3 separate regions of the Mus musculus genome follow, and all the other regions are reported to be linked to region 3. Evidence: microRNA targets listed by miRTarBase, many of them from high-throughput screens and not tested one by one. Region 3 holds a microRNA gene; each other region holds the end of a gene's coding sequence.
Evidence for each region. The annotated mature microRNA mmu-miR-302a-3p reads UAAGUGCUUCCAUGUUUUGGUGA and lies in region 3 at 1,680-1,702, opposite strand. An mRNA with a match to its seed (bases 2 to 7 or 8) in the 3' UTR can be bound and repressed. Matches are read on the target gene's strand: a 7mer-m8 pairs with bases 2 to 8, a 7mer-A1 pairs with bases 2 to 7 and ends in A, and an 8mer does both.

Region 1 (3,116 bases), not on the chromosome of region 3:
ACCAGCCTGTTCTACATAGCAAGTTCACAGACAGCCAGGGTTACATGGTGAGGTCAAAGTGGTGCAGCCAAAAAAAAAAAATCACCTCAACAACCCATTGCCAAGATAACTGGTGAAAAAGGCTCAGTATCCTCCCGAGGTACTGTACATTTCTCCTGATTCTGCACTTCTCCCAGGATGCACAAGTATGACCATTGTCTATCGGGAAATAATGATTTTTTTTTAAACCGTATGACTAGATTTATGAATAGAAAGACTAAACCAATCACCCAGTCACTATTTCCAACAAAAGGCCGAGCTTCTGTCGGTCACCGTTCCCCTGGTGGGACAGGTAAAGCTGTGGTAGAGGACAGAAGATTCTGTGGTCAGCACATCCCATGTGAGGGCCTGAGGTGAGGCTCACCACTCACCAGAACAGCTCGCCCTACAATGGCCAGGGCCAGGGCATGGCATGCACCCCGGGCTTCCTGCTACACCTCACCCACTCTCTACTTCCTCCAATACTGTGAATGAATCCAGTAAGGGTTAATCCCTGGGTCAAGGTTACTCCTCACTGTGCCAATAGCTTGAGGGGACACCACATACTCCTGTCCCTCTTCCATGGTTGTCATGACGACACAGGTGGAGTTGCAGCCGTTCACCCTTGAGTTTATCACCTGCCACCTGTGTTTATTTGAATCTCAATCCATTCAAAACCCTAAGCAGATATATTTTATCCCCATTTTACAGATTCTGTTATACTATCGATCTCAGGTTGATTTAGACTGTTTGTACCTGGCTGTAGGTAAATCATCAGGGAAGTGTGGGAAGCCCCGGGCATGCTGATTATGTAATATCTCACAAATTCCAACAAAACACCACAAATGAAGAGACTAGGCTTTAAAGTTTTAATAATAAATTGTGCCAGTAGAAGCTTTCAAAGGCAATGATATATCAATAAATAATAGTTAAATTGAGTTCCTGAGAAAGAACCTACCACATCAAACTATGTCAGAGCGCTGTAAATAACACGGCATTACTACAAAATAGCGAGAATACTGTAAGTCACAATACAAGCACAGCAGACTTCAGAATATGCCATTCATACAAATGTAAACCAGACACAGGAATGTTTCTTAGACATAGATAAATTTGTAAGTGTTTCTGCCTAGATAATACTAAGTAACGGGTGCACTGTGCTAAGAACCTTGGTGAGAAGATTTGGCATAGCATAATGAAAATGGGATGTGTTCCATCCTTGAAAAGCAAAAGAAACTGAATGTACTCAAATATAAATCACCTTAAGTAGGAAGCGTACTAATTTGAAATAAGGACTATTTTGTGTGTTTATCTATAGTTATATACACACCTATATGTCTAAGAAAAAAGTATGGCTTGTTTTTGTACTCCAATGTTGCTTCAAAGAATCTTTTTTTCTTTTTACAAAGTTAGAAAAACGTATTAAGTCACATTGAGATGTGACAGACACCTCTCATGTGAAAGAGGCCCAAAGAACTGGGTTTCACAGAACCTCCTGGTTGGCTGAGAACACAGGAAGCAGGACCCTTACATCACCTATGGCTGCGGGAACCCTGTGAGTGAAAGAATGAATAGCAGGGTCCAGCTCCCACAGCCACACCTGACAGCAGACAGGACTACGGAAATGGACAAAACGCTAGAATTATGTCAATGTTTTGGCAAAGCTGACTTAATCCCTTTTGATGTGTTTTATATATGACAAATGTTTACATTTGCCTCCCGAAGAACTCAGTCATATCCAAGACACACACACATTAAAAAAAAATCACACTTCAGTTATACATATGCATTTCTTTAACACACATCCACACAATACATTATCAGCACACTGTCTAGAATACCTCATTTAAAAACGTATTCACAGGACCTGCTGTGAATGGCAAGATACGGTATTTTATACTAGAAACCCCTGCTCATGCAGTACTCTCCACACCAGACACCGGAGTCACACCCACCAGCTCTCTGCTCACTCTTTCTAGGAACTATAATATGCAAAGGAGAAAATACAAAAGCAGCTTTCAAACATTACATCACAATTTGAAATGTGGGAAAATACAAAACTAAGCCACTGTGTAGATAAGCGGTCCTCGTGACTTGAGCAGAGCTCCGTCGCCTCATCCTCTCTTATTGCACAGACGTCTTGCCTCACGCTCTCCAGCTCTTCCTTTTCTAGCTGTGGACAAGTGCTATCAGATACAACACACATGGAAATAACAGCAGCATGGTTTCTCACAGTCAGTCCTTATAATTTAGTAAGAAAAAGATGGGTATCCACAAAATAAGTGCTCTTTCCATACTGTACTAATTTTTTAAAAATACTGTTTTAATGCAGTGAAGGTCCTCAGAGGGCTAATTTGAAATCATGTTGACTCTTCCTGTTGCCCATTTACCAGAACTAAAAATGAAGGATTCCTAAGCTTGAGTTTGTCTTCTGAAAAGAAATCTCATTTTGGGTTTCCTCGAGTTGTGGTTAACTGAGGCTTACACGTACACCGGCTGGCAGCCCTCGGCCGCACCTTCCAAGTCCGCATCCCCTGGGTCTGCACTCTCTGCGGGCTCTGAGGGCTTCGGGCACCGGAAGGGATAGCCGTTGTCATCGAAGAACCTGCGGAAGGTGAACTCATAGAAGGCGTGCTCTGGATGCTTGCTGCTGGGGGAGGCCAGCGTGTCCCAGGCCTTGGCGCTCTCTCCGCTGGCCTCGTGCCAGGGGCTTTCTTCATCCACCGGGTCAAAATTGGAGGTGTCCATGGGGTGGCTGATGGTGGGGACGTAGGGTGCAGGCTGCTTTCGGATGTCACGGGAAAAGTCGATGGTGTTGAAGAACGGGTGTGCCTTGAGGTCATCTGCCCCATCCCTGCCCAGGCGGCAGTCAGCCGCGCAGCACAGCTTCGTGATGAGGTCTCGGGCCTCAGCGCTGAGCCTCACCTGCGTAGGGATATGCAGCGTGCTCTCCCAGTTGATCACCTGTGGGCAGCAGAACCACTGTTAGCACCCCATCGATCTAAGTCTTGAGCCTGCACAGCCTCGACCTCAGCTATAACAAGTGTGAGCCTCTCATAGCTTCAGCTATGGCAATGGGTTTTTGTTGGGCCACCACA
Region 2 (3,116 bases), not on the chromosome of region 3:
CATAGTTACAAAATAATGATTTTAGAGTCATAAAAAGGACAACTAAGAAGAGTAGGGTCTATTTTATAATTTTTGTGCTAACTTAAAATATTTATACATTCAGTTTTCTCAAATCCATGTTCTTACATTTTTGGAAACTAGAGGGAACAGTAATCTTTTCATTATTATGGGTTTCCTCATTTCTTCCTAAATATTCTACTGTCTACCTGCAGACTGCGTTAGGAACTGGAGAACACAGTCCTGCACATAGTAAGCCTTTTTAATGCCATGTGTCTCCTCCTTCCACTCAAGGCAGTTCTGGCATGAGAGTAGAGTCAAATGACTCTAAATGACTCTCAGTATCTCTCTAAAATGGAAATACATCATTTCCTTTCTATTTCAAAATTGCTTACTAGGTTCAAATGAGATAACATGAAAATGGTTTAAATAACAGACACTATTTCAGCTTTTCTACAATAATAGCTAAGTACAATTATAAAATTGTATGCCACTTTACATAAGAGCTATATTCTTCAAAAGTCCTATGTAAACCAATTACTAAAATTAAGTCATATATTTAAAGTGTTAGAATATCATTATTGAAAGAACCTTAAATACCTTCAAAACCCAAGGTAATATTTCCACTGTGAAAATGCTGTATCCTCCTTTTCTGTCAGAATATACAATTCATCATGCACATAAACACATATATAACATTTGCCTTTTCTGATAAACCCAAAATTTTCTACATTAGCTTATCTCTAAAGCAAAGTACATTTCTAAGTATGATGTTTTCATTTCAGTAAGATAGTTAGAAATCTTCTCTGCCTTTGGATAGAAATCACAAATCTGTACTCTTGACAATGATTTATAAGTCCAGGACTCATAGTGCTCAGACTCTACTCAGTTATCAGTGCCCACAGAACACTTCCACACTAAGTAAGAAGACTTTAGCAATAATAATACAAAATTAAGTTCACTAGTCCAAAGACAATTACAACAACCAAACTTTGATAAGTGAGGCAAAACTCAGGTTATCTTTATTATTTATATTAGCTACTTTGGTTAATGCCTCAATTTGCAACATGCTCTTTGAACATTAATATGGCAACTGTTCCTATAAAGTACCTTCATTTCTTAAGTGCTTAAACAGTTTCCTCCTTTTTGATTACATTTTATTCACTAGAAGTTTATTATTTTATTTGTGATATGTTTTCAAAACCCACAAGGGCCAAGCAAAACGTTACAGTTTACACACACACACACATACACGCACACACGCACACACAAAAGTGCTAAAAGCAATTAGGAGTGTAAACAAATTGAAATAGAAAAGTTTTGACAACTGCTATTTTTCCAGTAGTTTCCATACAAACTGCATGTTAACAGTGAGCCAACCCTACCTGTCTTAAGCATCAGCAACCCCACAAGGAAAAACTCATCCTATATTAAGATGAAATTGAGTTGAAAATAATGCAAAGTGCACATCTCTAAAGATATTTCGTAATTCTGGAAGATTTTGTCCTTCACTTAAACTTAATCTGTGAAGCGCTGCTGTAAATCCTATTTTCTTTCACCAAGACTTCAACCACTGCCTCATCCAGAAACAATGAAGAATAGAGACAAATCTCATACAGAAGCAAAAAGAAAGATCTGGTTTAAGTGTCAATCTATACACCAACAGTAGTGCACTCAGCTGAAGAGCATCCTGTTAAGTTAGGGCGGATTTGAGAATGGGTTTGGCACCTTTTCTGATAACTACACGTAAAATATCTAGGTTCTGTTTCCCTGCTTCAGTCAGCCAAATGTGGTAAATGAAATGCTAACTCCATTGTGTAACTGAACTGCCATCACTTTAGTTACACTTGTCCCTTCCTTCCTTACTCATCTGTAGATACTGACACATACTGGGAACGAGGAGGAAGTGCCCAAATACAAAATGCCAATGTACATTGATGATATGTAGGTGAAACTGACAGTTTTTCATTACGATATACTCAATTAGATAATTTAATGTCTAGAGCTAAGTTTGTATTTATTACTTATCATAGTTGAGTACAGGTCCAATCATCTGGATTAAAATAACAACCTTATATTTCATTTAGCATGCTAATCCTGTAATTGTGAGCTCTTGGATTTTGGCTTGTGAAAAACCCAAATATACTGACAAAAAGAATGGATAGATGACAACCTCAAAGTATCAAGATTTTCTTACAAAAATATGTAAGAAATTTCAATAAGTTTCTAAACTCAACTTTGAAAATCTGAACAAAATATTTAATTAGTATTAAAATTTTGCCAATATTGACATATGTTTACATTCCTTCCTATAGGCTACATGGTTCTTAAAACTTCATAGCAATATGGGAAACGGACAAAACAGATGATTAAAAGTAAAACCTTGGCTTGGGGCTCACACCTGTAATCCTAGCAACTGGTTGGCTAAGGCAGAAAGTCTATCACAAATTGAGGCTACCTGGGCTACAAACTAAGACCCTGTCTCAAAAAAAACAAACAAACAAAAAATTCCACTGATGATTAAAAAAAATACCTCCACCATTGTCAGCAGCTAATAATCTGAAATTTAAAAATTTCAAAATTAGTACTAATGATTTTTTTTTAAAAAATCATACTTCAAATATGTCAAAATGTGTCCAAGTATTCAGTCAATAGAAATAAACTTTTCTTGATTTGAAGCTGTTCTGAAGACTTGAGAAATTAGGGGAAAAAGATGGGGGAAAAAATAGCAGCCCTACTAATTCAAAAGCCATTAGCTTCTGGCTGTCAGCTTACAGCATTAAAAGGCCTATGGAATGGTTACTCATGAACGATGCTCACTACTGCACATATTCTGGACAGCAGCTGTGCTATCAAGGCCCAGTAATGTCCCGAGATAAGATGGTTCTCTAGGATCTAGCATCTGTTCGGGTCGGACGGGATGAACTATATTTGCAGGCTGAGGAGTAAGAGTGTATTTTTCCAGAAATGCTAAGTCTGCTGCACGAGGATAATCAGTTGACTGTGGCTGTGGTGGCAGCATCTCATGGGACGATGTGGGAAGTGTGGTGGTATGAGGCACCAGATCGCTGGATGTGTCAGGCATTTGAACTGGGACCAATGTTACTGGAACACATACT
Region 3 (3,000 bases):
CACACATGTATATATTCCAGTGTTTAACATCCCACTATCCTATTTACTAGATGTGGACATTTCTCTCCTGGTGTCTTTTAACAAAATGAAGAAGCTGACAACTGATGGGAAGCTAATAGCCAGAGCATTGAAAAGCTCATCTGTTGTAGAGGTAAAAAACTTACATTTCAAGTCACCCACATCCAATTAACTACTGACTTTATTTAGCTTTCCTTTTTTTTTCCCCCCTCATAAAGTTGGACTTAGAAGGGACCAGAATCAGGAGGAAAAAACCCCTAGGTGAGAGACCAAAGGACGAGGAGGAACGCACGGTATATGTGGTAAGAAATGACACAAATTTTAATTCTAGTTCATTTATTTATAATTCATTTATTGGTAAAAATGTAGGAACTTTAAAATGTTCATACCATGATTTATTACAGGAGTTGCTCCCCAAAAATGTTACTCATAGCTGGATTGAGAGAGTATTTGGGAAATGTGGCAATGTGGTTTACATAAGTATTCCACATTACAAGTCTACTGGGGATCCTAAGGGATTTGCCTTTGTGGAATTTGAAACAAAAGAGCAAGCAGCAAAAGCCATTGAGGTACGTACTTCTGTGGGACCCTGAAAAGTAAAGAAAAAGCACAGGGTTAACAAGAGTAACAAATTCTGCAATCAATCTTTTCAGTTTCTGAACAACCCACCAGAAGAAGCACCTAGAAAGCCTGGTATATTTCCCAAGACAGTGAAAAACAAGCCCATCCCTTCCTTACGAGTAGCAGGTGAGTGCTTACTTAGAGTGGCCAAGTAAACAATAAACTATTATGACTGTAAATAATAAAATCTTGTTACAGAAGAGAAGAAAAAGAAGAAAAAGAAAAAAGGCAGAATAAAGAAGGAAGAGAGTGTGCAGGCCAAAGAGTCGGCCGTGGACAGCAGCAGCTCGGGCGTGTGTAAAGCCACGAAGAGACCAAGGACGGCCTCTGAGGGCTCCGAAGCAGAAACCCCGGAAGCTCCAAAGCAACCTGCAAAGAAAAAGAAGAAGCGGGACAAGGTGGAAGCATCCAGCTTACCTGAAGCCAGGGCAGGGAAGAGGGAGAGGTGCAGCGCCGAGGACGAAGACTGCCTCCCCCCAAGGCCAAAAGCTAAGAAAAGGGCTCAGAAGGATGGCGTCGGCCAAGCAGCTTCCGAGGTCTCCAAGGAGAGCAGAGGTACCGTGGCAGTAGGGTTACAAATGTTTTAACCAGTTTAACCACAACAACGGACTTACGGAAATCTTTTTTCTAGACTTAGAATTCTGCTCTACTGAGGAGGAGAAGGAGACAGACAGAAAAGGTGACTCACTCTCAAAGGTGAAGAGGAAGCATAAGAAGAAACACAAGGAGAGACATAAGATGGGCGAGGAGGTTATACCATTGAGAGTGCTGTCCAAGTAAGTGGCCACTGACACAGGTCCATCACCATTGCTAAAGTGCAATTCCAATTTCTATTCAACAGAGTTGCATGTTAGCAACAGTGACGGCCTTGGTCTATCTATATGCAGCACAATGAAGATTAAGTAGGAGCCACCACACTCAAACATGGAAGCACTTATTTTTAAATGCACAGCAAGTGCCTCCATGTTAAAGTAAAGGAGGCCCCTTAAGCAGACTTGAGTGGTCTTTACAAAGGCATGAATATAAAGGAAAACATACCATCACCAAAACATGGAAGCACTTACTTTCTTAGGTCTAAAGCAAGTACAACCACGTTTAAGTGGTGGGAAGCCCAGTCAATAACTCCCTTAACCTACAGCATCTTAGAGAAAATGTTGAACAGTTTAAGACACCCCCACTGAAACATGGAAGCACTTGCTTTTGTTTAACACAGCAGGTAACCCCATGTTAAAGCAGAGGGGACTCCCATCAGACTCTGAATTAAAAGGCTAGCTTTCTTATTCCAGAGTTTCTTGAATTCACTTCTACTAAAACATGGAAGCACTTACTCTTCGATGAGACAGAAAGCATTCCCATGTTAAAGTTGAAGGGAACCCACCCACAAGGCAACTAGTTAAAACAGAAGAGCAAACCCACAGGAAAGTAAAGTGACCCGGTTACAGACATAAGCTTTACCTCCTTTACCTTCGTGACCGCCTCCCAAAGAGTCCTGTTCTGTCCTCGGAGGGTGAAAGACGCCGACTTTAGACCACTTGTATTTATACTACTCCTAACTCCTGAGTTCCTTTTGGCTTTCTATCTCTGAGAATCATTACAAGACCCTTTGTTATTTTAATGTATCAGCTCTGGGGAAAGTAGGTCCTGGGGACCTGGGTAGGTCTGGATTTTTTTTTTTTTTTTCCTTTTTTGAAGTAAACAGATGTCAATGTTAACTGCTAAAACCATTACCACAAGATATCCTCCTCTTTAAAAAAAATCTCCTATCTGCCCGTTTGATGGCACAGATTAGGGTAACAATGAGCGCTCCCACAGAGCCAGGAGATGCATTGTGCTTCTCTGGAGGAGCCCTAGCTGTTTGAAGATACATCTACATGTTAAATGTATGTAAATAAATAAATTGCTTCCATGGGGTGTTTTTTTCTTCTTAGAAATTCCTTTTGATTCAAGTAAATCCTAAGGAATGTTAGCTCTCAAATTGGAAGCAATTTGAGAAATCTTTAAGTTTTAGTCTCTTACTTTTTCTCCAGGTTGCCTGATTTAGTGATTTTACTTAATAGAAGTGACTCAAAAGTGATTTTACAATTAAATATTAGAAGCAACCAGGAAACTCAAGCATTTTCCTTGCCTGTTAAGACAAAGAAACTTCCTTTGTGTGTTTGCTAGGTAGCTTTAACAAATGGCTTAACAAATAATGTAAACATATGCCTTAAAAGAAAGAAAAGTCAGAAAGACTTGCAGTTCCTATGAACATTGTGTTTAGATCAACTTCAGATTTCTAGTTGGGTCGTCTTATCACTGTAATGGCTCAATTTTTGTTTTTCAGGACTGAATGGATGGATTTGAAGAAAGAGTATTTGGCAC

Region 1: the mRNA of Lats2 is a reported target of mmu-miR-302a-3p. Seed matches in the 3' UTR shown: 8mer at 2,298-2,305 and 7mer-m8 at 2,200-2,206.
Region 2: the mRNA of Zbtb41 is a reported target of mmu-miR-302a-3p. Seed matches in the 3' UTR shown: 7mer-m8 at 1,270-1,276 and 8mer at 1,118-1,125.

The regions. Positions count from the first base shown.
Region 1 is chr14:57,688,789-57,691,904 of GRCm38, forward strand. Lats2 (large tumor suppressor 2) reads right to left here. Exons shown (of 8, transcript NM_015771.2): 8 at 874-2,982. The coding sequence ends at 2,500. Among named protein-coding and RNA genes, the nearest start is that of Gm26440, 7.5 kb to the right of the region's middle.
Region 2 is chr1:139,447,215-139,450,330 of GRCm38, reverse strand. It overlaps Zbtb41 (zinc finger and BTB domain containing 41), which reads right to left. Exons shown (of 11, transcript NM_172643.5): 11 at 1-3,116. The coding sequence ends at 2,801. Among named protein-coding and RNA genes, the nearest start is that of Aspm, 6.0 kb to the left of the region's middle.
Region 3 is chr3:127,544,241-127,547,240 of GRCm38, reverse strand. Mir302a (microRNA 302a) reads right to left here and starts at 1,745; the gene lies at 1,677-1,745. Larp7 (La ribonucleoprotein domain family, member 7) reads left to right here. Exons shown (of 13, transcript NM_138593.2): 3 at 51-151; 4 at 237-320; 5 at 423-587; 6 at 672-765; 7 at 838-1,194; 8 at 1,271-1,415; 9 at 2,963-3,000. Gm51018 (predicted gene, 51018) reads right to left here and starts at 2,152. Exons shown (of 2, transcript NR_146435.1): 1 at 2,095-2,152; 2 at 338-607. Mir302b (microRNA 302b) reads right to left here and starts at 2,013; the gene lies at 1,940-2,013. It also overlaps Mir302c, Mir302d and Mir367.